Linked DNA regions of Diceros bicornis minor. The protein of the gene in region 1 interacts with the protein of each later gene in a pairwise test. Links are inferred from orthologs where the notes say so. Each region holds a gene or a part of one and is shown in the gene's direction. Other genes may lie near its edges.

Region 1 (7,168 bases):
GGGGGTGGCCTCCTGTCTGCTCATGATGTTTCTTATCAGCCCCGGGGCTGCTGGCGGCTCCCTGCTTCTCATGGGCCTGCTTTCCGCCCTGCTCACGGCTCGAGGAGGCCCCAGCAGCTGGGGCTACGTCAGCCAGGCGTTGCTTTTCCACCAGGTCAAGGGGGCTTGGAGGAGGGTGGGGAGGGGAGGAGGCAGTCTGGGAATGCCCACCCCTGAAGGAGGCCTCCCATTCCCTTGGCTGGAGCTGGGGTTCCTGTCTGAGAAGTGTTGAGTGGGGGCCGCCTGCTTGAGCCCTTCCTCCCCACCACCCCACTCCTGTCCCCAGGTGCGTAAGTACCTGCTCCGGCTGGATGTCCGGAAGGATCACGTGAAGTTCTGGCGGCCCCAGCTGCTGCTCCTGGTGGGGAACCCCCGGGGTGCCCTGCCTCTGCTGCGGTTGGCCAACCAGCTCAAGAAGGGGGGCCTCTACGTGCTGGGCCACGTCACCCTGGGAGACCTCGGTGAGTTGCCCCCCACTCCTCTTCTCCCTCTCAGTCTCAGACGCTCTTTGGGTTCTGTGTCCCAGAGGCTCGTGGTTCTTCCCGAACGATCCTTCCAGCCAGCCTCAGCCCTGCCTAGACCTTTTTCTTCTGCCCATTTGGGATTTGAACTCTAGGAGAAAGTACATGAGTTTGGCCCACATTTGCTGCCTGCCTTCCCCGCAGACTGCCTGCCCTCGGACCCTGTGCAGCCGCAGTACGGGGCATGGCTGAGCCTGGTGGACCGGGCCCAAGTGAAGGCCTTCGTGGACCTCACCCTCTCGCCCTCCGTGCGCCAGGGAGCTCAGCATCTGCTGCGGATCTCGGGCCTTGGTGAGCTGCTCCTTCCCCCGGCCCCCTAGGGCCTCTGTGTGGCCCCTTTCAATCTGTTCCCCTCCCCCAGAGAATAAACCACAGATTGCAGACTCCAAAAGGTACTCACTGTCGAGTGCAGATAAGACACAGCCTCAAAGCTAACAGACAGTGTGTGATAAAACCTCAGAGGAGATGCTTAAGGACTCAAGATGGGGCAACTGTTATTTTTTTCTGATCCAAAAATTGGGGCACAGGCTCTGAAGAGCATGTTGTATTTCTGGGGACAATGGGAGAATTATTTGAGCCTGGGGGCTGCCCCATCAAATCTAGGACAGAAGGTTTCTAACCACCCGAGTTCAGAGAAAGGAAGCTCACCATGTGCTGACGTGGCCAGCAAAGGTTTTGTGACAAGATGGTGTCTCAGCTGGGCCTTAGAAGGGGTGGAGAAGTAGAGAGTGATGTAACATGGCCCCCAGAGACCACAGAGGATGTGGGGGATGCATGGGGCTGATGCGTTTGGATGGAGTGGAGGATTCCCAGCTTTGTGACTGCGTCTTAGTACTGAGGCCTCCCACCTTGCACCCAGGCTTCCTCCAGATCTGTGCTTAGCTGCCTCCTTCTCTCTTAATCCCTCTCTGAGTGCATGCTGCCTTCTCCATTTAGAATCTGGCTAAAGTTCAAGTGTTGGACATTGCCCTGTTCGGTGTAAATCAGAACCGTGGAAAATGCTCAGGAGGGGGTATAACTAGCTTACTTTGCAAGATCAGCTGGAGTTCACACCTGCTGAGGTGTTTTGGGTTGTTTTCCAGCATTATTAGACAGACCCTGGAGCACCTGAAGGCCTGGTCTCTCCTCAGCCCCACCTTTTTTGGGGAAACCTGTGCAAACAAACCACTACTTTCATGAAATGTATCCTGTGGGAAACGATTCAAATAAAACAGAAAAGGTTTTCTCTAAATAGTAAATTTGCCTGGCAAGTAAAATTTGATTTCCTGGTAGATTTTAAGCAACCCATTTGTTTCACGAGAAGGAGTCTCAGAAGAGGTCTCAGCACCTTCTTGTACATGCAGCCCTTTAAAGAGGGAATTATCTGATTCCATATAGGTTATCCAAAAATTAAAAACCAGCGGCTGCTGGCAGGGACTGGGGCATTGTGGTTGGTACACACACCAGCTTAGAGGCTCAGAGAGTGTGTTCTGGTGCTGGGCACATTGTGCTCACCTGCCGACCCCATATTTACCAGCCCTGAGCCCTTGGGCAAGTGACTTCACCGCTCTGTGCCTTATCTGTAGAAGGGGTTGAAGTAAATAGTCCCTACCTCGTGGCGTTGCTTCAAGGATCAGATGAGTTAAAACACGAAGTGCTTTCTTTCAACAGCATGTGGCCCCCGGTTAGTGGGCAGATGTTAACTGTCTCTTCTCTGGGGACGGTGCTTTGGACCCACCATCATTAGGGCTTTGCAGTCATGGAAGCATTGTGCAGCCCCAGCCCGAGTTCTCATCCTTCCCCAGCAGAATCCGGGTGCTGTCTCCCTGGGGATTGAGGCCATGAGCTTGACTAATCAGGGGGTCTGGTCTGCCCCCGGGAGTCAAACTCATCTCCCATCATGAAAAAGGTGTGCTGGGAGAAGCTTGGAGCAAATGCATCTGACTGCCATGGACCGGAAGTGCTCATTAGTTAAAAGAATCCCAAGGTGGCCTCTGCTTATTTAAGTGGGGGAGATTAGTCATGGAGGTAAATCGAATAAATGCATGTGCAAGTGTTTGGGAAAATGAAAAGTCATCATGCAAATGTGCATAATGTTGCCTTAAGAGACCAGGCCCGGTGCGAATCTCATACCTGACGGCTGACACATTTCCTTGTCAGCGTGTAGGAGTGGGCAGGGATGAGCGTGGGGCAGTCTCTGCCTGTGAGTGTGACTCCTGTTGGTTCCTTCCCTCCTCCCCCTATCTGCCCCCAGGTGGCATGAAGCCCAACACACTGGTCCTGGGTTTCTATGATGATGCTGCACCGCAGGACCACTTCCTGACAGACCCGGCTTTCTCTGAGCCTGCAGGTGGCACCCAGGAGGGCGGGACCCCAGCCTTGAGCACCCTGTTCCCTCCTCCCCGGGCTCCTGGGAGCCCTCGGGCTCTCACTCCCCAGGACTATGTGGCCACGGTGGCAGATGCCCTCAAGATGAACAAGAATGTGGTCCTGGCCCGGGCCTGTGGCGCCCTGCCCCCTGAGCGGCTGAGCCGGGGGTCTGGGGGCACCTCTCAGCCGCATCACGTGGACGTGTGGCCCCTCAACCTGCTGCGGCCCCGGGGTGGGCCTGGCTATGTAGACGTCTGCGGCCTTTTCCTGCTGCAGATGGCAACCATCTTGGGCATGGTGCCTGCTTGGCACAGTGCCCGGCTCCGGATCTTCTTGTGCCTGGGGCCTCGGGAGGCCCCTGGGGCGGCCGAGGGGCGGCTCAGGGCACTGCTGAGCCAGCTGAGGATCCGGGCTGAGGTGCAGGAGGTAGTGTGGGGCGAGGGGGCTGGGTCCGGGCAGCCTGAGGAGGAGGAGGAAGGGGACTTCGTGAACAGTGGGCGGGGAGACGCGGAGGCAGAGGCCCTGGCATGCAGCGCCAACGCCCTGGTTCGGGCCCAGCAGGCGCATGGCAGAGGAGGAGGGCCAGGTGGGCCTGAGGGTGGGAATGGTGTGGAGGGGCCTGCCACTGCCCTCACCTTCCTGTACCTGCCTCGGCCGCCTGCTGATTCTGCCCGATACCCCCGATACCTGGCGCTCCTGGAGATTCTGAGCCGTGATCTGGGCCCCACGCTGCTCATTCATGGCGTCACCCCCGTCACTTGTACTGATCTCTGATGCCCCATCCCTAAAGCAGAGGGTGCCCAGGCCGGGAGGCCCACCTTGAGTAGCAGATGAGGAGGAGAAGGGCCGCCTCCCCGCCTGCCCCACACGTGGTACACGGAGCCAGGTGGAGGTATTAGGTGATCCTGATCTGCGGCATCTGCTGTCTCTGGGAGAGGGGCCCTGGTGCACGCGTGCAGGGCAGCTGTCTGGCCACGTCAGCCTCCCTCCCTTCACCGGTGCCTTGTCCGGGGCTGGGTCTCCGCTCGTGACTTCAGGCTACCTCAGTCTCCCCCTCACCCAACAGACTCACTGACCCCTGAGGTTGTGATATTTGTGTTCTGTTTTATTTTTCTAACTGCTGAACGTGAATAAAAGACCAAAACACTACGGGCTGGCGGAGCACTGCTGGGGGGTGGGTAGATGGGACGGGAGGAGGGAGACATCTGTATGGGGGGATGTGGGAAAGAGGAGCGCCAGAGCGTCCCAGCGTCGAGGTGGCCATGGGCAGGACCTGGGGCGCGGGGCGCAGGGCCTGGGGGACTCGGGGAAATGGAGGCTGCCTGCAGCCTCCCAGACGCCGGCTCCGCGGAAAGCCCTCCCCGCTCAGCAGGAGGGGGCTGACTAGGGAGGGACAGCAGTTTAGGGCCTAGGGGGCCACGTGACCCTCCCCCAGGAATGCGATGATGTCACAGGGGGCGTGGCCATCCCCAAAATTGGGGAGGAAGAGGAAAAAAAGCCAGAAAAAGTTTCTTTCCTGGAGTCCCAAACGAGGGACGGAAGAAGGGGTCAAGGCCAGAGGCTCAGGGCTCCGTGAGGCCCTGACCGCGGTCTGGAGGTCCCCCGTTCCAGGCCATGTCGGGGCCCACCTGGCTCCCCCCGAAGCAGCTGGAGCCCGTCAGAGCCCCTCAGGGGAGAGTGCTCCCCCGGGGCGCCCCGGGGCCGCCACCAGCCCCCGGAGCAGGTAAGGCAGTCCCCAGTGGGCCCAGGAGGCCACCTCTGCCCTGAGGCTCCTGCCTCCTGCCCAGCCTGCCCAGCCGCCCCTTCCCCGGAGCCAGGCTGGGACTAGCCGCCCCTGCCCTCTCGCAGCCCTCCCCACCTCCTGTCCCATTCTCGGAGCCCAGGTGCGGGAGGGGGGGGGTGAGGGGGAGGGGAGACGAGGGACCTAAGAGGGCGTCCTCCACAAGTGTCACCCTCGTCTCCTTCCCCATCTACCCTTCCTCTCTCTTCCCTCACCGCAGCACTCCAGTCCCACCCCAGGGTCAATTTTTGCCGTCTCCCATCTGAGCAGTGTTACCAGGCCCCAGGGGGACCAGAGGATCGGGGGCTGGCCTGGGTGGGGTGCCATGGAGCACCCCAGCGTTCACAGGTGAGAACCGGGATGGGGGGGTGAGGGCAGGGCAGGAGAAGAGGGCCGTGTGATTTGCTTCTCCCTGCTTCTGCTCCATCCTCAGGGGCTCCCCCCAGACAGAGGGGGCTTGCGCCCAGGAAGTCTGGATGCTGAGATAGATTCGCTGACCAGCATGCTGGCTGAGCTGGATGGGGGTCGTGGTCATGCCCCACGGCAGCCTGACCGGCAGGTGACCCCCTGTCCTGCCCCGTCCCTCCTCTGCTCCCTGTCCCCTGTCCCCCCACCCGCCCCCCTAGCCTGGTCCCTTCTCTGGATTCTCAACCCAGTCCACCCCTCACCTCTACCTTGTGGAAGAAGCTGGGCCACCAGAGCTTGCTAGGTTGTCAGCCACTTGAAGGCGGGCCGTTGTCAAAAACCAGCACTTACCTGGGTGCCACACACATGGGTGGGGCATTTCCACAGGTGTGTGTCCTGAATGGGCCCAGCTCACTCCTGGTCTGCGTTTCTCCTCAGGCTTATGAGCCCCCTCAGCCCCCTGCCTACCGCGTGGGCTCCCTGAAGCCGAATGGAGGGGGTGTTCCTTCCCCACCGCTCCCAGCATCCACTTACGGGGGCCCCACTCCGGCCTCCTACACAACAGCAAGCACGCCCGCCGGCCCTGCCTTCCCTGTGCAAGTGAAGGTGGCACAACCAGTGAAAGGCTGTGGCCCCCCCAGGCGGGGGGCCTCTCAGGCCTCCGGGTCCCTGCCGGGCCCCCACTTTCCTCTCCCAGGCCGAGGTGAAGTCTGGGGGCCTGGCTATAGGAGCCACCGAGAGCCAGGGCCGGGAAGTGAAGAGGAGGCTGCCGGGGTCTCTGGCCATGCAGGAGGAGGAAGAGGAGGCGGGTATGGGCCCCCGGTAAGCACCGTGTATGGGGTTTGGGGTCCTCACAGACAACTGGACACTGATTGGGCGGGGTGAGGAGTGGTGTTTAATGTCCTGGTTGTCAGAGGTCTGAGGTGTCGGAGCTCTAGATCCCCGGAGAGTGTGGGCAGGTCAGGAAGTACAGGACGGAGGGGACTGGAGCTGTACCCTGGCTCCCCGAGGTGTGCCGCCTGGACGCTGGGCTGAGACGTTCTCAGATGAGCTTTCTGGGCAGAACTGCCTGGTCACCCTCAGCGATTTTCACAGGGTCAGGAGCTAGAGGTAGGGCCGAACCCCTGATTCTCACTTCCCAGGTGCCCCTGAGCCAGCCTCCCGAGGAGGAGCTTGAGAGGCTGACCAAGAAGCTGGTGCATGACATGAACCACCCGCCCAGCGGGGAGTACTTCGGTGAGCTGACCCCACCGGTGGGGTGGGAAGGGGGAGGTGGGGCTAGAGAGTCAGAGGGACAGCCGATCCAGCTTCCTAGCTTGTGCAGATTGACCCTGTCCCTCCCTGTCCCCAGGCCGGTGTGGCGGCTGCGGAGAAGATGTGGTTGGGGATGGGGCTGGGGTTGTGGCCCTGGACCGCGTCTTTCACGTTGGCTGCTTTGTGTGTTCTACGTGCCGGGCCCATCTTCGGGGCCAGCATTTCTATGCTGTGGAGAGGAGGGCATATTGTGAGAGCTGCTACGTGGTGAGTGGTTGGGGTGGGGGGCTTCCATCCAAGGTGGGAACTAGATGTCCAAGCCCCAAAGAGGAACAGGACTCGAAGGTAGGGGACTAAAACTGATGTACAAGAAGAATGGAGGACTTAAGTAGCTAAATACTGCCTGCTGGAGGGAAGGACCACAGTCCCTTTACAAGTGTGAGGCATTTATTTTAGAGTTAAGGAAAGTGTTAAATTCCCACCATACCCCTGTGAGGCAGATATTACTACTGAAGGAAACTGAAGCTCAGAGTGGTTAAATAACTTGTCCATGAAGCTGCATTGCTGAGACTTGCCACCTTTCACTGAATCGCACGCAGGTGGATACACGAACAGATGGTTGGGCTGGCAGGATGCTTGTGGGGCTGCCATGGGTCACCCCAGCCCTCAACCTTCCTCCCTTCCTTCCCAACAGGCCACCCTGGAGAAGTGCTCCACATGCTCCCAACCCATCCTAGACCGGATCCTGCGGGCTATGGGGAAGGCCTACCATCCTGGCTGCTTCACCTGTGTGGTGTGCCACCGCGGCCTCGATGGCATC
Region 2 (7,071 bases), on another chromosome or scaffold:
GCTTTGTAAGATGCAGGGCATGGTGGCCTCAATAAGAGTACTTTCAGTGGAAAAGAACAGAGAAATTGGGCAGTAGGTGAAGGACATAGGGTTAGGAGAGGGTTTTTGTTTCTTTTTTTAAGATGGGTGATAGCAGGGCCGGCCCCGTGGCTTAGCGGTTAAGTGCGTGTGCTCCGATGCAGGCGGCCCGGGTTCGGATCCCAGGCGCACACCAACGCACCACTTCTCCGGCCATGCTGAGGCAGCGTCCCACATACAGCAACTAGAAGAATGTGCAACTATGACATACAACTATCTCCTGGGGCTTTGAGGGAAAAATAAATAAATAAAAATTAAAAAAAAAAAAAAAAAAAAAGATGGGTGATAGTAAGACTTGACTGCATGCCTTATGGAAATGAGCCAGCGGAGTGGGAGAAACTGGTGTAGGAGAGGGGAGCTCATTGCAGGAGTGTAGCCCGGGAAGAGGGAACGGGTTCCCAGCACAGATGGCAAGGCTGCCCTTAGGCGCAGCCTTTTGCTATAACAGGCGGAAGGCAGAGTAGGCAGGACAGGTGCAGGCTGGCTGGAGGGTTGGTGTGGAAAGATGAAGTAATTCTCAGCTGATTGCATCTATTTTTCCATGACCCATGAGGAAAAGTCATCAAGTGAGAGAAGGGAGCCAATTTGAGGTGAGAAGATACAAACTAACTGTCCTCAAAAATGGGAAAGTTAATGACTACTAAGGAAGTGTAGTAGAATCAAATGCTCATTTTATGATTTATGGTCGTAAATTTAAATTCAGTTCAGTCAACAGAGTTAGCTGATTTTCTCCAGCCAGGGTTACACAGGTTAGGTATAGGCAAGGATTAAGCACAGAGCTGGGTTTAATCAGGCTTGGAGTTTTGCCAGGTGAGGGAGGGGAGCTGCAAGAAAGTGGAAATAGTGCCAGTCTTTGTAATCTAAGCTTGTAAGAAGGAAAGCAAGGGCAGCAGTGAGAAGAGAAAAGGACCAGTGGCCATACAATAACTATGAGTAACTGCCTCCTTTGTCTTGCTTTACCGTCAAGAGTAGTATCTCAACTGGAAGAGCTAATATTTTCTCTTTGAAATGTATCTAGAATGTTATCATACTGGTGAAATTTATTTAAATTTTATTGAAAATTTTAAAAATAATCAAATCTTGATAATTTCTTGGAGCACTTTATTCATTTTTTGCTATGTACTTGGAATTTAAAAAGGCAATTGATTTAATGAGCCTCTGGGCTGTACCAGCTATAAATAATTTAAAACATTTTACTTAGGGAAAACTTCGAACACATACAAAAGTAGAGAGAATAGTGTAATGTACCCCCATGTATCTATCACCCAGTTTCAACAATTATCAACATTCTGCTGTTCCTACTTCATCTAGACCCCCATCTTTTTCCTGCAGCATTTTATAGCAAATCCTAGGCATCATAACATTTCACCCGTAAGTACTTGGTATGTGTTACTAAAAAACAGAGAGAGAAACATAATCACAATACTATTATCATACCCAACAAAATTAACAGTAGCTTAATACAATACATTGTCGAAGTTTAATTTTCTCCATCTCAAAAGTGTCTTTTTATTTTGGTTATAATAAAGCCTTGTATGGTCAAATTTGTCTGGGAAATAGTACCTCTCAACAAATATGTATCAGCACCAAGGATGTGCTAGATATTGTGTGCTAGGCAGGCGGTGGGGTCTGTAGTGACAAACAGTGTACTACTCCACCTCTGTGACAAGGTGATTAATTGGCTACGCCGGATCAGCCACCTCAAGAGACAATGATGGGTGGGACTTTCAGAAAAAGATCTAACTTGCAATAGCTCTTCAGAGACCCAAATGGTTGTAGGCCTCAGTGTTAGCCAGACCTCTGAACTCAGGTATGTGTCTCCACTGTAACTTTCTTGCCACCATCTGGTGCATTATTCCAGCACTGTCAAGAAGTGGTTGTAAATAATAAATAGTAATTATTCAGCATCTTCTATATAAAACATACTGCACTTAGTGCTGTAAAGACTTCCAAGGTGGATGGATGAGATCCCTGTTCAAGGAACTTAATTTTTAGTGGAGAAGATAACATACAGACACAAATAACCAGAGTACAAGGTGGAAGCCTGCAAGTGCTCAAAGAGAGTACTTGAAATTAAACTGCTTTAAAAGCACAGAGGGTTCCTGGGATTACTGGGATGTTGGACCTGTGGTTAAAGGAATGAAGAGGAGGGGACGAGGCCCCAAGACAATGATGACATTTCAGATGGACTGTGAAGAGTAATTGGAAATTATTCATGCAGATAAAGAAGAGGGAGAGAGAAAGGGATCTGAGGCCAAAGGGCCAAAGTTAGCAAAGGCACAAAGATGGACAAAGGTACCAAGTGTTCAGGGACCAGTCCAATTTGGATGCAGCCTTGGACAAAAAGATTCCAGCCAGCCTGCAAAAAGCCTAAGGGATTTAAGCTAAGGAATTAGGTTTTGCGGGCCGGGCCGTGGCTTAGCGGTTAAGTGCGCGCGCTCCGCTACTGGCGGCCTGGGGTTCGGATCCCGGGCGCGCACCGACGCACCGCTTCTCCGGCCATGCTGAGGTCGCGTCCCACATACAGCAACTAGAAGGATGTGCAGCTATGACATACAACCACCTTACTGGGGCTTTGGGGAAAAAAAAAAAGGAGGAGGATTGGTAATAGATGTTAGATCAGTGCCCGTCTTCCTCAGCAAAAAGAGGAGGATTAGCATGGATGTTAGCTCAGGGCTGATCTTCCTCACACAAATAAATAAATAAATAATTTAAAAAAAAAAGGAATTAGGCTTTGTTTATGAAATTGGGGAGCCATTAAACATTATAGCTCAGAAATATCTCCAAAGACACTCCTTTACCATTCAGCCCCAAGAGGTACCTGGGCACTATTATTTTGTTTAAACCATTTAAAAACATTTAAGATGGCTGATTTAGGCATTTGCTCAGTGTAAATCTCGAGTATTTGTTCTGCTATTAGTATTATGTGGGAAAACTCCACTAGAATCTAGTATAGAACCCCAATCCCAAATTGAATCCCCACATTCTCCCCCAGCGTTTTGCAGCCTCAAAGAACTTACCGGTTTTGAAACAGAACACTACTACAATAGTGGTCAATAAATGAACGCTCATAGTACATCAGGGCTGAGATATAAAAATTTATCCACAGGGGTGGTCCCCTAAAAGTGTTCCTTTCTTCTGGGTCCCCCAATAAAGTAGCAAGAGATTTTGGGCACTATTACAATTTACAGAAGTGTTATTGTTTGGAATTTTCCAGAAGCCAAGGCAATTATTTCCGCGACTGCCTAATAATTAATCGGCATTAGACACAGCATTCCTTGAGCTTTCTGCCTGCATTTCCTAACCGACGCCCTGGAAGTATCACAGAGTACTTCAATAAAACCGAACCAAACACACCCTTTCGGAGCCGAGGCCTATGTGAGCCCTCAGAAAAGTCAGCCTCAAAATAAAGTGAAAACTACGGCTCCCCTTCCTCGTTAACCAAATCTACCGGCCCAGGGCGGGCTCGGTCCCTTCCCACCGCGTCTCCCTAAAGCCGCTCATCCTACCCCTCCCGCAACCGGCCCACGCCATCGACCCCGTACCCTCAGGTTAGCCCGGAGGCCCAGACTCTTGGCCAAGTTCTGCAGGTCACTGTACTTGAAGGAGTCCAGCTCCTCCAGGGAAGGGACGGTCATCGCGATCTGTAATCCAGGCGACCACGCAGACGATCGACACTCCAACCTCAGCAGCGCCGTTCAAATCTCTGGCGCCACTATAAGCGTTGACCAAGCCGAATTTTATAGACAGTTTAAATTAAGGGTGCTGCACTTCCATTGGTTAAAAATGCCTCGAAGGCGGGGTTTCCTGGTGTTGACCAATAGAAAGGCTGATTCCCCTTAGTCGCATATTCTTCCCCACCCCTCACCAACACGTAGGCGTCGAAGGGCGTGTCCAGGCAACGAATGCGCCGCAGAGCCCCGGCTCACGATGTCCAATGAGGACGGAGGAACCGTGCTTGGGGCGGGGCCCGGTGCGTGTTCGAAACGGAGGCGCGGCTGCGGGAAAATGGCGGCTCGGGCGCGGCGGCATCGCTCGCGTTATGCAGTGCTCCCGCGGGGTGACTTTTGCGATAGCGCTAAGAAGGCGATTGATGAACCTTCTTTAACGACTTCCATGGAGTGGGACACGCAGGTGGTGAAGGGGTCCTCGCCGCTCGGCCCTGCAGGGCTGGGGGCGGAGGAGCTGCCATCCAGCCCGCGGTTGCCGTCGTGGCTGCAGCCCGAGAGGTGCGCCGTGTTCCAGTGCGCTCAGTGCCACGCCGTGCTGGCTGACACGGTGCACCTCGCCTGGGACCTGTCGCGGTCCCTAGGGGCCGTGGTCTTCTCCAGTGAGTGGGGGCGGCGTCTGGGGAGGGCCCGAGAGGGTGTTCCAGCTTTCTCACCGGGTGGCCGAGAGCCAGCTGGGGAAGAAAACTGGGTGAAGATTTGGAAGGAAATGAACCCCTTTGCCGGGATTTTCTTGATTTTTGTGGCCATGATGAGTCTGTCTGAAGGGGGAAGGTTTTCCCTTTCAAGGCCTCACAGGTACTCATTCTGACCCGTGTTTGTTTTCCTAGGAGTCACAAATAACGTGGTTTTGGAAGCTCCCTTCCTAGTTGGCATTGAAGGTGTGCTCGAAGGCAGGTACGTACTGAGAATTTTCGGTCTGTAGAGACCTATCTGTCTCTAGTCCCTGACTTATTGAGACTGAGGAGTGTGGAACCGACATGCAGGAGGAGAAAATAGCTTGTTCTTATCTTGCGCTAGAAGAAGTTGATTCCATCCATACAGTGTATGCTAAGGATGCTCGTTTTACCTGCTTGAGTCTTGTACGAACTTGATGTATTAATGCATTGGAAAAGTGGTATTTATGTGTTGATTTTAGAATCTTTCTGAGGGTCACATTTCCCTAGTGGCTTGTGCAAGTGAAGTGAGGCTAAGAAACATCTGCCTAGTAGGGGAAAAAGGAGAAAATTACCTTTTGGTGTATAGTGAGAATCAGTTACTACAGACTACCATCCTTTGAGATAACTAGGACTTATAAGTTTCCATTTAACCTGGAGTTTGTAATAAGCTATGGCAGGACTAACTCTGCTGTAACCCTGGAAACTGGGGAAAAACACAAGTTGAGTGTTACATACTTGAATACTGCCTGGTGAACTTTGCATCTTGCCTGTACTATGATTTACAAGTGACAACAAGGTACTCAGTGAATTTAGTATTACAAGGCTCTTCAATTTTGACTGTTGGCTTTAACAGCAAGACGGTTTATTCTGACCACAGTTGGGTCAGTTTTAGGGTTAATGTATAGGAATTCTTGGTTGCTTTACTCAGTAACCAGGAAGCGTTCTGCAGCTCCTCTCTCCCAACTGAAAGACACTAACTCCCTATCCTTATGGAAGTGTCCTCTTCCCACCCCAAGTGAACAGAGAGGGAAGGAATAGTGGCCTGCTTGGAACTAGGTCATTTGGGGCCAGAGGCAGAAGCTCTCTGAACATCTGCTTAGAGAGGAGGATAATGCCTCTAGACCTGTGCTGTCCAGTACTGTAACTATTAGCCACATGTAGCTATTGAGCACTTAAGATGTGGCCATTCTGAATTGACATATGCTGTGAGTGCAAAATATGCACTGGATTTTGAAGACTTGGTACAAAAAAATTAATAATTTTAAAATATTGATTACATGTTGAAATGATATTTTTGATATATTGGGTAGCATCAAATATATTAAAACTAATTTCATCTGTTTCTTTAAAATTTTTTTTTTTAACGAGACCAATAGAAAATTTAAAAATACTTATGTGGCTCACATTATATTCCTATTGGACAATACTGATCTAGATGGTTTATAAAACACTGGAGGAAAAGTCCCATGTGTTTGTGTATTTTTGGAATAAGGAGAACCATGGGACTTGGCAGGAAGAGATTTATTACCAGGAATTGGCTATGCAGTTATGGAGGGTGAAAAGTCCCAAGAGCTGGAGACACAGGAGAACCAATGGTTTAGTTCTAGTCCAAGTCCACAGGCCTGAGAACCAGGAGAACCAAAGATGTAAGTTGCAGTCCAAAAGCCAGCAGGCTCAAGATCTAAGAAGAGCCGACGTTTCAGTTCAGGTCCAAAGGCAGGAAAAAAGACCAATGTCCCAGCTCAAGGCAGTCAGGCAGAAGGAGTTCCCCCTTACTCATGAGAGAGTCAGCCTTTTTGTTGTATTCAGGCCTTTCACTGAGTAGGTGAGGGCCACCCACATTAGCGAGGGCTATCTGCTTTACTCAAGTCTACTGATTCAAATGTTAATCTCATTAAAAAACACCCTCACAAACACATTCATAATGATGTTGGACAAAATAACTGGGCACCCTGTGGCCCAGTAAAATTGACACATAAAATTTAACCATCAGTTGTTAACTTGGCTCCCATATGCATCTCCTAAAACCATACTTAATCTCCAAATAAAGACAATAACAAGGTCATAATTCTGCCTAACATGTTACAAGAATCCTGCATACAACTGAAAATGCACTAACCCCTTCTCCAGAAAAGGAGGTAAAGTCTTTAAGTGAAGTTTACTTTTCTCTTTGATATCTCATAACTTAAATTCCATGATGTAAAATTACCAATACTTAAATACGATGATATAAAGACGATATAGCTTATGTTACATGATGAGGGAATAAGAGAGGAAAGAAAATAGATATTTGCTAAGAGAGGGAAGAAAGCAGAAGGAAGAAAACAGATAAACACACATATACACACCAACATATTTATAACAAAATAGGGAGGAAATATGACAGTTACAGTCCTCGGTTCTGTAACTCGTCCCGTGCTCATAGCTGGTATTTATAACTACCTTCTTCCACTGCCCGTTCTGTATTCCCTTTGCCTTCAGCAAGCACTCAGCTGATCATAGTTATTTACCTGGTGTGGTGATGCAAACGATTCTCCAAGGCCATTAGACTAATCTGCAATGAAATCGTTGTTTTGTATTGCATGCGTAAGCATAATTTTGTGATT
Region 3 (6,764 bases), on another chromosome or scaffold:
CTTAGCGGCAGCGCGGGGCACGCAGTAGCAGCGGCGGGCGCAGGTTGGCGAGGGGCCGGGCCGGGCGCGATCTCAGGGTTCTCCCTTGGCGGCGGCAGTGGCGGCGGCGGAGGCGGCGGCGGGCGAGGCAGCCCCGCGCGGGCAGCACCAGAACTGGTCGGTGATTTAGGTAGTTTCCTGTTGTTGGGATCCAGCTTTCTCTCGACAGCACGACACTGCCTTCATTACTTCAGTTGAAATCGTCTCCAGGTACCTGTGCGCGCGGGGGCCGGGCCGGGCGGGGCATCCAGACCCTGGTCGTGCCAGGCCTGCGGTGGCAACCTCGGCTTTTCCCACGCAGGAGCCTCGACCCTGCCTCCTTCTCAGAGCTCTGCCTGCCTGCTGGCCTCACCCCCCATCTCTACCTGGCCCCGAGCAGGTATGGTCAGGTTAGCTGCTCCTTAGCGGACGCCGGGGGCGTGGTAGTAATTCTGGGCCCCGAGCCATTCAAGGTCAGGGGCGCACGCTTCCGTCCTGGGCCTTCCCCGCTCCAGGCCTGCGCCTGGCCAGGGACCCGCGATTCTGCTGCAAGGCTAGGACAACACTAGCCCCAATCCAGGTACGAGATCAGGAAAGATCCCTTTGCCAGTGGAGACTCAGGCCAAACTGGGGCGAACAGAGGCTGGGATCCCGGCCTTGCCACTTACCCTTCTGTCTGTAAACCACTCTCTACTCCTGGGAGTCGCCTTTTTCTTCCTTCTTTCTTTCCTTCTTTACTCTTTTTTCTTTATTCCTTCTTTCTTTCCTTCTTTTTAATTTTCTTTCATCTTCAGTCTCTCTGTGTCGTTTTCTATCTCCACCTCCCATCCTCCTCAACTCTTCCTTCCAGAGGGACCCAGGGCTGGCTTGGGGAGAGCCTGGGGGGGTGTTATTTTTCTCTGCGTGCTCAAGTGGAAGTCGAAATCTGCCGAGGAAGGGTACGCGTGGGGCTGCTGTTGAGGGCTGTGGATCTGGGCCTGGTGTGCCGCTGCGCAGACAAGGCCTCGGTTACGATCACGACCGGATGGCGGCGGCCTTGCGTTCCTACTCCGCGGGCCAGTAATGGCAGCCTAGGAGATCGGATTAGGGGGGCATTCGCGGCGTTTTTGTGTGCCCACACCGAGGGCAAGGAGGCCTTCGACAGCCTCCCTGGGGACCTGAGGCTGGGACCTGGGCTGAGGCCCAGCCAGTCTCGGTAGAGCCTGGCAACGCAGGGAACTCCGCGGGGAAGCTTCCTCCGCTCTCCCAGGCCTGCCGGTCCCTGCTCGAGCTTTAACCGCGATAAGGAAGCCCCGCTAGGGCAAAGATTCGCTGCTTGCTTGCCACTAGCTTCTATCAGGTTCAGAGTATGTTAGAAACGGCATCCATGTGTGGACGGGTGTTGGGGAAGGGGACCCTTCCAGCGCGAGTCTGTTTCAAAAAATAGGGGAAAGGAATCCTAAATTCCAGAACCGTTGGAATACAAACTTGAGTCCTTGTTCCAAGTTGTAGTCCACCGTTGGAAGCTAGTCGGACCATTCTCGCTACCCAGAACTGAAAACAATCTCCATCCCTCCGTACCCCCCGACACACACACACTCGCGGGCCTTCAGACTCATGCCCACCGAGCGAGCGGTGCTTCCCTTCGCAGCTCTGGCCGAGGGCCCGCCGTCCTGTTATCTGAAAGGCCGGCACAGCGCGTTCCTCTCAACTCCTGTCTGCCACTTTCTGGACCCGAGCATTGGATTTGTTTTGGAGGCCGAAGTTTTAGAACTCGCAGGCGAGAAGAAGCAGTTTGTAATTACACCAACTTATTTCTTTATGCAGACGCAATTCTTTTCACTTCTAAAATAAAAGCAGACACAAAAGCCTAAATATTCTCTCCCCAAACCTCTGGGATGAAGAGGGATAATATTTGGTTTTGTAATTTTCCCTCCTTCTTGGCATCAGTAAGGAAGACTAAAAACTCAACGCCTGCTAATTATTTAGTAACCATCTTATTTTGGGGGCTAAGGCTATTTAAAGAACAGCCTTTTTATTTGGAAAAAATGCTAATAATAATTCGTGTCTTCTCGGTACAAAAAGTGCAAAGGCAGCCAGGCGTGTCCAATTACAATTAGGAGTGAAGGTTTTCTCCAAGGTTAATTTTTCTTAGTGAAAATCTCAGGGGCTCCGCGAAGTGCTCGAGTTTGGGACACCTTGGGCTGCGGTGGGGGTGGGGATAACGCGGAGGAATTTACAGGGAAAGGAAAATATTAGGGGGGAGGGGGCCGAGGCGGCCAGGACCAGCCACGTCGGAGTTCATTGTGCGCACCACTTCCCTCTTCCGGCGCCGGCGGAGGAAGGGGCACCCGGTTGGCCTCCCCTCGGCTTCGCAGCCTCACTCTGGTGGAGAGCCTGGCATGTAAGGATCTCCACCTGGGATCAGGGTTTTGGGGGGGATTACTGGAACCGTTAGGGCGGATGAAGGCAGAAAAGGAGATGGAAGCGCCCGAGGCCGCCCGCCCTCGCCGCCAGGGAAGTGGGCTAATGAGAAACACTCTTGCAGGCACAGTGTTCACACGTGAATTTAATTACCTCATTTTTCAGAGTCGCTGCTTTCTGTTCGGATTTGGGCTGGGTTCCCCCCCTCCCCCCCAATTAAGAGAGGCGAGGTCTTTTAATTTACCCCTGACTCTCAGGAGTGAGAAATACCCTCCTCAATTTGGCCAAGTTAAGGGATGGGATTAAAGTCAATGCCCCGTGCCCCTCCTCATTTTAATTTCTAGCCCTGGACTTGAGTTGCGGCCGCCTCCGCTTTGGGCCTTGTAACTCTGCTGAGCCGCCCCGCCGGATGGGTAACCGAGGCGGGCCCGGGGCGGTGGCCAGGAAGGATGGAAGGAAGGAAGGTACCCTGAAGGACTCATACTGAGTCCCGAGGCAAGCCGCTCCGGTGCAGGCCTCCCAGCTACTGGAGCCGCGGGGTCTCAGGCGGGGCTGCCTTTTTGCAAGCTGGACTCTCCTTCCACTGGTGCTGCCGCCCGCCTTTTTTCGCAGCTCTGGTTCGGGGAGCGTCATCAGGCTTGCAGAGCTCAGTATTAGGGCCTTAGAGGTCGGAGCACAGGGCTGGATCGCCTCCTGCGTCCGCAGGGGATCGTGCTTCTCAGCGGACGATGAACAGTGCGCGCTGAGCGCGCGTGTGCGGGGGCTCGGGCGGAACACGCGGCACAGCCAGGCTCTCAAACCCTTCGCCTCAGGGACGGCTGGCTGCTCCCTGTGCGGCCGCTCCTCGGTGGGGCCCACGCTGGAGGCGCAGGGGAGAATTTGGGAGCTGCCCCGGCGCCCGGCGCCCCAGGCTGGCAAATTCCAGGGGCCCTCGATAGGCGGTGCCCTCTCGGCGGCCTGTCTCTGCCCAGCGCGCCCGGGCAGGGGCAGGGGTGTCTCTGTTTCGGACGGATACTATGTTGAATTTGACTTTTCGCAGCCGGTCCGGAGTAAACTCGCATCTCTGGGAACCGCAGGGGTTATTTACAGGGAGCTCGCCAACCAAACACAACAGTCTAATTTAACCTTTCCAAGTCCTCGTAAATTTTTACAGCTGGGAGCCACGGCGAGGAAAACGAATCTGTTGGTGGTTCCCAACTTCCCACCAGCCTGTGTGGCTTCTGAAACAATAACTCCTTATGAAATATCATAAATATAGATTTAAATACAGTAGACGGAGAATGCGATTTGGCTGCTTTTTTATGGCTTCAATTATTGTCTAATTTTATGAGGGGCTCCGCTGGCCGCACTCGCACGCAGGACCCGCGCCTTGCTGATGGCGTGATTAATTGTGATATAAAATAGTCCGCTTAAGAAGTGTGTGTCTGGTGGTGGCGGTGGGAGGGGAGGGGAGGGAGGGAGTACAGAGGCAAGGCCAGATTTGATCTTTTAATCTTCGTTGGCCACAATTAAAACAAACCCGATCGTGGAGCGCCGCGATCCCTTTGCATAAAAACATATGGCTTTTGCTATAAAAATTATGACTGCAAAACACCGGGCCATTAATAGCGTGCGGAGTGATTTACGCGTTATTGTTCTGCCGGGCGGGCACGTGACGCGCGCGGCCAATAGGGGCGCGGGCGCCGGCAACTTATTAGGTGACTGTACTTCTCCCCCTGGTGCCACCAAGTTGTTACATGAAATCTGCAGTTTCATAATTTCCGCGGGTCGGCCCGGCCGGCCGGGTGCGGGGCACGGCGATGGCCACCACCGGGGCCCTGGGCAACTACTACGTGGACTCGTTCTTGCTGGGCGCCGACACCGCGGACGAGCTGGGCGCGGGCCGCTATGCGCCGGGGGCCCTGGGTCAGCCCCCGCGGCAGGCTGCGGCGCTGGCCGAGCACCCCGACTTCAGCCCGTGCAGCTTCCAGTCCAAGGCGGCGGTGTTCGGCGCCTCGTGGAACCCGGTGCACGCGGCGGGCGCCAACGCGGTGCCCGCGGCGGTGTATCATCACCATCACCACCACCCCTACGTGCACCCCCAGGCGCCGGTGGCTGCGGCGGCGCCGGACGGCAGGTACATGCGCTCCTGGCTGGAGCCCACGCCCGGTGCGCTCTCCTTCGCGGGCTTGCCCTCCAGCCGGCCTTACGGCATTAAACCTGAACCGCTGTCGGCCAGAAGGGGTGACTGTCCCACGCTTGACACTCACACTCTGTCCCTGACTGACTATGCTTGTGGTTCTCCTCCAGTTGATAGAGAAAAACAGCCCAGCGAAGGTGCCTTCTCCGAAAACAATGCTGAGAATGAGAGCAGCGGAGACAAGCCCCCCATCGATCCCAGTAAGTGTCTCCTCCCGCCATACCGGCCGCCGCCTCCACGCCGGCCACCTGGATCTGCCGGCCCGCCAGCTTTCTCTCAAGTCTGCCTTCGCCCGCGCTGGGAGCCTCCTAAGCAGGGGCCAGAGCCAGAAGTTGCTGTTTGGGACGCCTCGGATGGGGCCCCAAGTCCAGAGAGCAGTGACAAGTGGGCCCACAGGGCTGGGGGGAGGGGAGGCGGCTGCTGCCGAGAGAGGGGGCGGGGCGGGCGCTGCGGGCCAAGCCAAGACCAGTCGCCCCTCTCCCTGGCTGCCCGGGACCAGGACAGAGATACTTTGAGCCATTCTTCGAAAGCAGCGCGGCAGAGAGTCTTTTCTGCGGCTAGATTGTCTGGGAGCAGCGGCAGCAACTGCAGCCGGGACACTGGGAGAGACGGCCGATTCCCTCCAGTTCTCGCCTTCAGCCAGTGGCGGCGTAAATCCTGCCCAAGATGAGGCTGCAGGCGCCCGGGCCCCGCGAGTCCCCATGCCAGATTATTCGAATAAACTGGAGAAGTGATCAACGGCCTTGGGCCGCCCAGGGGCACCGTGCTTGCCTGCCCAGCTCCTACGGCCTTTCAGGGAGGTCAATAAGGAGTGGGAGAGTAGAAGGAAAGGTGGGGAAGGGAAGACAGTGAGTCAGTGAGGAGCGAAGAGAAGATCAATCCTGCTACATGAACAGGGCAGCGTGGATTCTCCCTGCCTGGCAAGAAGCTCTGTTTCCACATTTCACTCGTACAGTGTGCGGAGAGTGGGAGGAAGGAGAGGAAAAGACGGGAGGACAGAGGAAGAAGAGAAAGGAGGGCCTCAGAGGGGAGGGGGAGCCGAGGTTTTACTGCGTGCAATTGTAAGTGACCGTCCCTGCGTCTGTCTGCCAGGGTTCCATTGTGTCTGTGGCTCAGCCGCCTTCCCTAACCAATTCAGCAGTGTCCTGCACTTTGGTCGAAGACCCCAGGAGGTTCCCTAGCCCCCAGCGGAGGGGGGGTGTGCTTCTCCTTCTAAATTCCGTGTCTCTCTCCCCACAGACAACCCGGCTGCCAACTGGCTCCACGCGCGCTCCACGCGGAAGAAGCGCTGCCCTTACACCAAACACCAAACGCTGGAACTGGAGAAAGAGTTTCTGTTCAACATGTACCTCACCAGGGACCGCAGGTACGAGGTGGCCCGACTGCTCAACCTCACCGAGAGGCAGGTCAAGATCTGGTTTCAGAACCGCAGGATGAAAATGAAGAAAATCAACAAGGATCGAGCGAAAGACGAGTGACGAGACTCGACTTCGTTTAGAACACAGCCAGAGAGCTAGAGAGAAAGAGAACGGACTGCCTGTCCCCTTCTCCCACCCCCATTCCACCCCAGCCTCCACCACCCCGCACAAAGGGGGTTCCAGGCCTCATCTCCCCCTGGCAGACCCTGCTCAGGCTGGCTCCTTGGCCTGCCGTTTTGATGGAGGAGGTATTGTAAGCTTTCCATTTTCTATAAGACAAAAAGGGGGGGGGGTGCATTAGCACTGATGGCTGCGTGTGCTAGCTTGTATATATTAAAAAAAAAAATCTACCTGTTCCTGACTTAAAACAAACAAAAAAAAACTACCTTTTTATAATGCACAACTGTTGATGGAGAGCTGTATAGTTTTTAGTCTGTGTAGTTAATTTAATTTGTTCTTTGTGCGGCAGAGCGATCTGCCCAGATACTTGAACACTGTCTTTTATTGTGGTAATTATGTTTTGTGACTCAAACTTCTGTGCTGGGTGATGCACCCGTTGTGTTTGTGAAAGCTAGAATTCAATTTGAACTCAGGTTGTTTATGAAGGGGAAAAACAGTTGCATAGAGTATAGCTCTGTAGTGGAATATGTCTTCTGTATATTAGGCTGTTAACCTTTGATTGTAAACTAGCTGTAAGGATTTCCCAGTGACATAAATTTTTTTAAAAAAGAGAGAAAGGGTTCTCC
Region 4 (6,971 bases), on another chromosome or scaffold:
AGGTCCCGCACATCACATAAACCTCAGATGCCACACAACCTGAATCCACTTGAGTGCCTATAATTTGCTAGGCAGTGTTCTGGGAGCTCAGGATACATTGGTGAACAAAATAGAGAAAACAATCCTCTCTTGTGAAGCTTATGTTCTAGTTGAGAGACAGACAAAACAAAAACATAATAAACGTCTAAATTAAATAGTATGTTAGAAGGTAAGTGCCGTGGAAAAACGTTGAGAAGGGTTGGAGGATGGAGAGTGCAGAGCAGGGAGTGTGGGTGAGATGAGAAAGCATTTGGCAAGATCCAACATCCATTTATCATAAAAGCTCTCAATAAAATGGGTATAGTAGTTTCCTTCTTCTATAGAACTACCTCAACATAATAAAGGCCATATATGACGAACCCACAGCCAACATCATATTCAACAGTGAAAAACTGAAAGCCATCCCTCTGAGAACAGGAACAAGACATGGGTGCCCACTTGCACCACTCTTATTCAACATAGTAATGGAAGTTTTAGCCAGAGCAATCAGGCAAGAAAAAGAAATAAAAGGGATCCAAATCGGAAAGCAAGAGGTAAAACTGTCACTATTCGTGGATGACATGATTCTCTACATAGAAAACCCTAAAGAATCCACCAAAAACTATTAGAAATAGTCAATGAATACAGTAAAGTTGCAGGCTACAAAATCAACATACAAAAATCAGTTGCATTTCTATACACTAACAACCAAATAGCAGAAAGAGAAATCGAGAATACAGTCCCATTTACAATTGCAACCAAAAGAACAAAATGCCTAGGAAATTGCCATTTTCAATAAGCTGGTCAGAGAAGGTAAGCCTCAGCGAGAAGGTGACTGTGAGCAAAGACTTGAAGGAACTGGTTATTGATAATACCAACAGACTCTAGTATAGTATATGAGTTCAGTGGTATGCCATTATTCTCTTATTCAGGCCCCACTTTAGAATATTTGAAGTAAAATAACCCCAAAGACCCAACAGTAGGAGGGTAAAGCAGGAACAGTTGACCAGGGTTAAGAACTGAGTAGCTGCCTGGGGCACTCATCTTAGACATTGGTACTAAACAACACAGAGACACTGAAACATCACTGGAAAATAATACAATGGGGAACATTCTATCTACCAGAACATTTTGGGAGGTGAGACCCCCAAGGGGCATGACCCTTAAGGAGATTTGGTCTGATTAACTGTCAGGTTTGTACTGCAGGGTGGGGTGAGGCAAACATGGAACCACACCTGAAATGGTCAGGGCACTAGACGGCTGAGTGCTGCCACCAAGGGGTGCCCTTTCCCACCTTTCTCACCTATTTAGCATTCAATCTTCCCTCTAAATAAAAGAGGGGAAAACAGCTAAAAATATGAGTTTAAAGTATATATTGTTGGCCTGCTCTAGAAATAATAAAAATAGGAGACTGGGACTCTTAATTGTGAACATCTTAAATGTTCTTGGAGGGCCAGCCCCGTGGCTTAGAGGTTAAGTGTGTGCGCTCTGCTGCTGGCCGCCGGGGTTCGGATCCCGGGCGCGCACTGAGGCACCGCTTCTCCGGCCATGCTGAGGCTGCGTCCCACATACAGCAACTAGAAGGCTGTGCAACTATGACATACAACTATCTACTGGGGCTTTGGGGAGAAAAAGGAGGAAGATTGGCAATAGATGTTAGCTCAGAGCTGGTCTTCCTCAGCAAAAAGAGGAGGATTAGCACGGATGTTAGCTCAGGGCTGATCTTCCTCTCACACACACAAAAAAAATACAGCAAAAAAAAAAAAATCATTAAACATTCTTGGAGCACCACATGATCTTTATTTATAAGCAGCTGTGGCATAGTAGAAAGACAAAAGGACAGGTCAGAACTGGATATTGAGTTCTGACTCTGCCACTGAACTGATTAGCCTTGGCCAAATCAGACAGTGAAAAACTAAGTTTTATCATCTATAAAATGGGGATAATAGTTAAGTTTCTTTTACGACAATTAAATGAGATAATTGTGTTTAAATGAACTTTTTAATCAACAAAGTATCATACACCTGTTTGGCATAATAATAAAGCTACAGGGTAGTTTTATTTTATTTATTTATTTATTATAGTTGCTAGGTAAGGATCATAGTTATGAAGGATATAATCATTTAAGTTGTAATTATCAACAAATAGTTAAGACAGTGCAGAATCCTTTAAAATCTCTATAGTCGGTCTTCACGCAGCTTCAAGAAACCAATCTAACAGACTTTTCAACATCTTTTAATGGGATGTTAGAACAAGAGACAGACATACATCTTGTTATCTCAAAAGCAGAATATGTATTTTGTTTCCTTATTCACTTGAATGAATACTGAAGGAGTGACCCTTAACCAAATGAAGGAAGGGTCAGCATCAAAAATAACTGGCTATTTTCTCCAAATTGCCAGCTAGGTAGAGTGATTCTTAAATGATACTTCTTGTCAGCAAGAAAGATGATCCCAAGAATGAACAAAAATAGCCTCTGTTCAACAGCTGCGATATCTATAATTTATAAGGTGTGATCATCTCTCATTAGATTGTCACGGTGTCTAAACAAGAATGTATGTATATTTGCCATTTGTATATCTATCACTTCTCAGAAAACAAACTTCTGTTACATCTTATTCTTTCTGATCAATGTATTTCTCTCTTTACACATAAACAGCGTGATAAGACACTTCTTGTTTGAGGAATGTGACCTTGAAACGTCATCGTCATGCACAACGTTAAAAATGTTCAACTAATCCTTAAACATTTATTCCAATCAGCAAATAATTTGCAAGCACTGAAAGACAGGCAACATTGAAGAACAGGACGACACGGAAGGAAGGGAGGGAGGGAGGCAAGGAGGAAGGGAAGAAGGAAAAAAAGAAGGAAGGAAGGTAGGAAGGAAGGAAGGAAGACATTCCTTCATTACTAAATTCCTGTCAGTATTCAATACAGTACCTGGGTGTCGCGCCTTTGTTTCCTCTTACCATTTTGTCCCCCCACCTTCTATCTTTATCTTTCATTCATTTGTGCCCTTACAGCCCTTCCTCTTCACAATTCTCTTTGTCTCTTATGTATTTTACTTCCTATGCTCACTATATTCAATTTCCCTTTTCATTTCTTGCACTATTTTCCTCTGGTGCAGCCCCATCACAGGCTATTTCTACACTATATATTTATCTAAGCATGTGCTAAATACCATCAAGCAAATATTGTGACTGATTTAATGAAGAACTTTGTGCAAATTAGTTAGAATGGAGAGCTCTGGAGGAGAGGGTCTCTTCCATCTCTAGGACAAAATAATTGAAAATGATGAAATACGTAGAGGAGGACAATTGAAGAGAGCACAGCATTGGGTTCCGTGTGTGCCACGACCTGTATCAAAAACTCCCAGGCCGTGACGTGAGGAACTTCCTCCTGGCTCTCCTCGGGCTGACCTTGGATCCCGGCCCCCGCCGCCTCCCATCCCTGAGCTCCCTCATGCTCACACTGCGGTTTTCACATCCTCTCGCTCCCCACACTGTGGGCCTGTTTCTCTGCTTCGAATTCGACTCCCATCTCTTTCCATTCGCTAAGATTCGCCCAAATCTCAGCCGCACACTTTCACTCCCTTCCGTTTTCCTCCTAACGGGCCCCCTAGAGCACCCCCCTCGCCCTCGGCCCCTCCGCAGGTGAGGGCGCCGTCCCTTCACGGCTCCCCGCGCACCTGTCGGCCTCCCCCCACCGCCGCCCGCGCTCCGGCCCCTCCCTCCGCTCCGCGGCCGGGCCCGGCCCCCGGCCTCTCGCCGCGCCCCCTCGGTGGGTCTGCGCGCCCAGCCTCCGCCGTTTAGCGAGTCCCCCCCCCGGCCCGGCCCTCCCCCGCCGCGCCCCTCCGCCCCGGCCCCCCCCCCCCCGGTCCCGCTGCACTGTGGGTAGGCGGCGGCGGCCGCGCTGAGGAGCCCGCGGCGGCGGCGGGGGAGCAGGCGGAGGAGCGGGCGGCGGCGAGGCCGCGCACGCCGAAGATGGCTGAGAAGCAGAAGCACGACGGGCGGGTGAAGATCGGCCACTACGTGCTGGGGGACACGCTGGGCGTCGGCACCTTCGGCAAAGTGAAGAGTTGAGTACGCCAGGCCGTCCGCTTCGCCGAGGCCGGGCCGGGCCGAGCCCCGGAGCCCGGGCGGGAGGGTGGCGGGCGGCGGGCGCGGGCCTGGTGGCAGGTGGAGCGGCCCGGCCGCGCGGAGCCGGGGCCCCGGGAGGGCGCGGGCGCACCTGGCCCCGCAGTGGTGGCAGGTGCAGGGCAGGGGCCGGAGAGGAGGGCGAGGGCGAGGGCGGGGGCAGCAGTGCCGGGGTCCAGGGCCCGCGCCCAGCCGCCCGTCCGGTGGTCGGGAGCGAGGCGCTTCCCCTGCGCGGACGTGAGTACCTTCTGTAGACCCGGGAGCGCGGACTCGGCGGTGGCGTGCCTTCCAGCTGCGGCATGGGCCGGACGGGGGGCTCCTCCACGGTCCTGATGGTTGAGTTTCCATTCTGCCAGGTGCCCCGTTAGGTGCTTTCCTTGTGATCTGTAATTCTCACAGCAGCTGGGTCAGGTGTTCTTCTCACGTTGAAGGTGAGAAAACGGGGACCCCTAGAGGCTGAGGAACGTGCTCAAGGTCACACAGAAATTGGCAGAACCAGGATGAAGAGTAAAATGTCTTCCGATTCTGGGCAGGCTGGGAGGTCCCTGCCCTCCCGATTCTTGCATGCTCCCGGGCTCTAGGTTGGTGGGGCTGGCTGTCTAGGGGGTGCTCCAGGGGCGAGAGGTGGGTCGGTCTTTCTGCTGGGCATGTGAAGGGCTGGCATGCAGCTGGATTTGTCAGGGGTTGATTAGAGCTGGGAGTTCGGAAGGTTGGTTGGCATGTGTAAAATGGTTCTAGGAAGGCTTCAGGAGTGGGGCAGAGAAAAAAGCCCCCTTGGTGTTGACCTTGGAGGATGTGGGGCTGAGGAGGCCAGAACTGCTGAGGCATAGTCCGCTGAGGTCTGTTTTCTTGGTGATAGGATCCCATTTTGGGTGTAGAAAAACAGGCTGCTTTTGAAATGTTTTACTTCTTACTAGTTAAGTATTGAACTTTCCTTTTCTGTTGTTAATAAGTCACATGGGATTGAATTGTTTTGTCCTCTTTCCAGAACTAGAGCCAGCTTATTAAGTATACTTTCCCTTTGATTGTTGCACATCCAGGATTATAAGTAAAATGTTGAATTTTTTTTTTCTTTTTGCTGTAGAAGTTCAGTAGGCAGTTTGGAGATTTTATTCTGAGGCCTTTATTTGGTTTAAAATTCATATTTTAATCTTAAATCAAGGCTGTTAAATAGGTAGAAGAAACTCATTGTTTGCATCAGCTCTTATTTACTTCCACATATCTGATACCGTTTTGTTTAGAAAATGCTTATTGTACACCTATGATGTGCTGGCCACGGTTCTGGGCAGTGAGGATACAGCAAGAAACAAAACCAGATTAAAATCCCTCCTTTTGTGGAGCTTATATTCTAGTAGGGGAAGACGAACAATAATCACAATATGTATGTAAACTATATAGCATGTCTAGTGCTGTTGAGAAAAATGAATCAGGGAAGGGAGCATAGGGAGTTTTGTGAGGTTGACAATTTTCAATAAAGTTGTCAAGCAAGGCCTCACAGATAAGGTACTGTTTGTGTAAAGACCTAAAAAGGTTGTAAAATTCTTTGAAGTCCTATGAGGCTATGAAGTTCTGGATTATTTTTGAAAGACCTCGTAAATAAAGTGCATAGTTCAGAGAATATATTTAGCTTGAATATAGGAAGATCCAGGGATTGGATTAATGCTTGTAACGTTACTCGTCATTAAGTATCATTACTGAGGACTAATGTGTTTGGACATTATTCACTTCCTGAAGCAAACAGTGCCTTGGCCATCTGGACATGTACACTCTTAAAGTTATATAACTTACCCTATGTCCTTTCAAAACATTTTTGTTTATCTTTTTAAATTCTTCAGCTGTAATCTGAATGTAGACTAGAACACCCATCAACTCAATTGGCCCCTTGTCAGAGGACAGCTTGAATCTCTTTTGTATACTCTTGAGCTGCTTCCAGGCACTGGCTTCTTCAAATATAGGCCAACAGAATATACTTTGATTTATGAGAAATTCTTTTCCTGGAGGACCCCTGTCCAAGGAGCAGCCAGTTGGAGGGCTGTTCTGAAGGCTAGGTTACAGCCTTTGTAAAGTTAGACTGTGGTTTCCCATCCAAGATTAGAGTTGTTCAATAAAAATTATGGAAGTTGCTACAATCTAAAGTTACTCATTTAATTCTTCGAGGGACAAGAAACAAAAGTACGTACATTTTTAAAAACAGCTTTATTGAGGTATATTTTATGTATAAAATTCACTCATTCCAGGTGAACAATTCAATGATTTTTAGTAACTTTACCAAATGGTGCAACCATCATGATAGATCAATTTTAGAACGTTTTCATCACCACAATAGGATCCCTCATGCCCGGTTACAGTTAATCCTTGTTCCTGCCCTCAGCCCCAGGAAACCACTAATCTATTTTCTGTCTGTATAAATTTGCTTTCTCTGGCCACTTCTTGTAAATGGGGACACTCAGTGTGGAGTCTCTCATGTCTGACTAATTTAACAATGTTTTTGAGGTTCATGCGTGACATAGAGTGTGTCACTAGTTTGTTCCTTTTTGTTGCTGAGTAATAATCTATTGTGTGGATATGCCACATTATGTCTGTACATTCACCATTTGATGGACATTGTTTTCAGATTGGGGCGGTTACAGATGATGCCGTCACAAACATTCACATGCAAGTCTTTGTGTGGACATATGTTTTTATATATCTTAGATACCTTATATATCTTAGATACCTTGGAGTAGAATTGCTGGGTCATATTGTAGTTTTATGTTTAGCTTTTAGAGAAACTACAAACTGTTTTCCAAAGTGGTTGTACCATTTTACAGTCCTACC

Evidence for each region.
Region 2: the proteins of TRIP6 (region 1) and OIP5 interact in binary tests that used the Homo sapiens proteins (3 or more experiments, as listed by UniProt). The two-hybrid records come from large-scale screens. The link is inferred for Diceros bicornis minor from reciprocal best matches to the Homo sapiens genes TRIP6 and OIP5.
Region 3: the proteins of TRIP6 (region 1) and HOXA9 interact in binary tests that used the Homo sapiens proteins (3 or more experiments, as listed by UniProt). The two-hybrid records come from large-scale screens. The link is inferred for Diceros bicornis minor from reciprocal best matches to the Homo sapiens genes TRIP6 and HOXA9.
Region 4: the proteins of TRIP6 (region 1) and PRKAA2 interact in binary tests that used the Homo sapiens proteins (3 or more experiments, as listed by UniProt). The link is inferred for Diceros bicornis minor from reciprocal best matches to the Homo sapiens genes TRIP6 and PRKAA2.

Annotation. Positions count from the first base shown.
Region 1 is NC_080765.1:5,033,896-5,041,063, reverse strand, and holds the start of TRIP6 (thyroid receptor-interacting protein 6), read left to right. Parts: upstream 1-4,153; 5' UTR 4,154-4,523; coding exon 4,524-4,632; intron 4,633-4,909; coding exon 4,910-5,037; intron 5,038-5,122; coding exon 5,123-5,248; intron 5,249-5,532; coding exon 5,533-5,916; intron 5,917-6,236; coding exon 6,237-6,330; intron 6,331-6,445; coding exon 6,446-6,615; intron 6,616-7,042; coding exon 7,043-7,168. Other genes in the region: SLC12A9 (solute carrier family 12 member 9), read left to right, coding at 1-154, 326-500, 705-851, 2,794-3,683. UniProt on the Homo sapiens protein: Relays signals from the cell surface to the nucleus to weaken adherens junction and promote actin cytoskeleton reorganization and cell invasiveness. Involved in lysophosphatidic acid-induced cell adhesion and migration.
Region 2 is NC_080744.1:39,058,966-39,066,036, reverse strand, and holds the start of OIP5 (protein Mis18-beta), read left to right. Parts: upstream 1-4,071; 5' UTR 4,072-4,086; coding exon 4,087-4,408; intron 4,409-4,636; coding exon 4,637-4,703; intron 4,704-7,071. Other genes in the region: NUSAP1 (nucleolar and spindle-associated protein 1), read right to left, coding at 3,624-3,716. UniProt on the Homo sapiens protein: Required for recruitment of CENPA to centromeres and normal chromosome segregation during mitosis.
Region 3 is NC_080742.1:51,998,665-52,005,428, reverse strand, and holds HOXA9 (homeobox protein Hox-A9), read left to right. Parts: upstream 1-4,220; coding exon 4,221-4,800; intron 4,801-5,839; coding exon 5,840-6,078; 3' UTR 6,079-6,260; downstream 6,261-6,764. UniProt on the Homo sapiens protein: Sequence-specific transcription factor which is part of a developmental regulatory system that provides cells with specific positional identities on the anterior-posterior axis.
Region 4 is NC_080752.1:18,540,054-18,547,024, forward strand, and holds the start of PRKAA2 (5'-AMP-activated protein kinase catalytic subunit alpha-2), read left to right. Parts: upstream 1-3,952; 5' UTR 3,953-4,001; coding exon 4,002-4,095; intron 4,096-4,546; exon of another isoform or gene 4,547-4,585; intron 4,586-6,971. UniProt on the Homo sapiens protein: Catalytic subunit of AMP-activated protein kinase (AMPK), an energy sensor protein kinase that plays a key role in regulating cellular energy metabolism.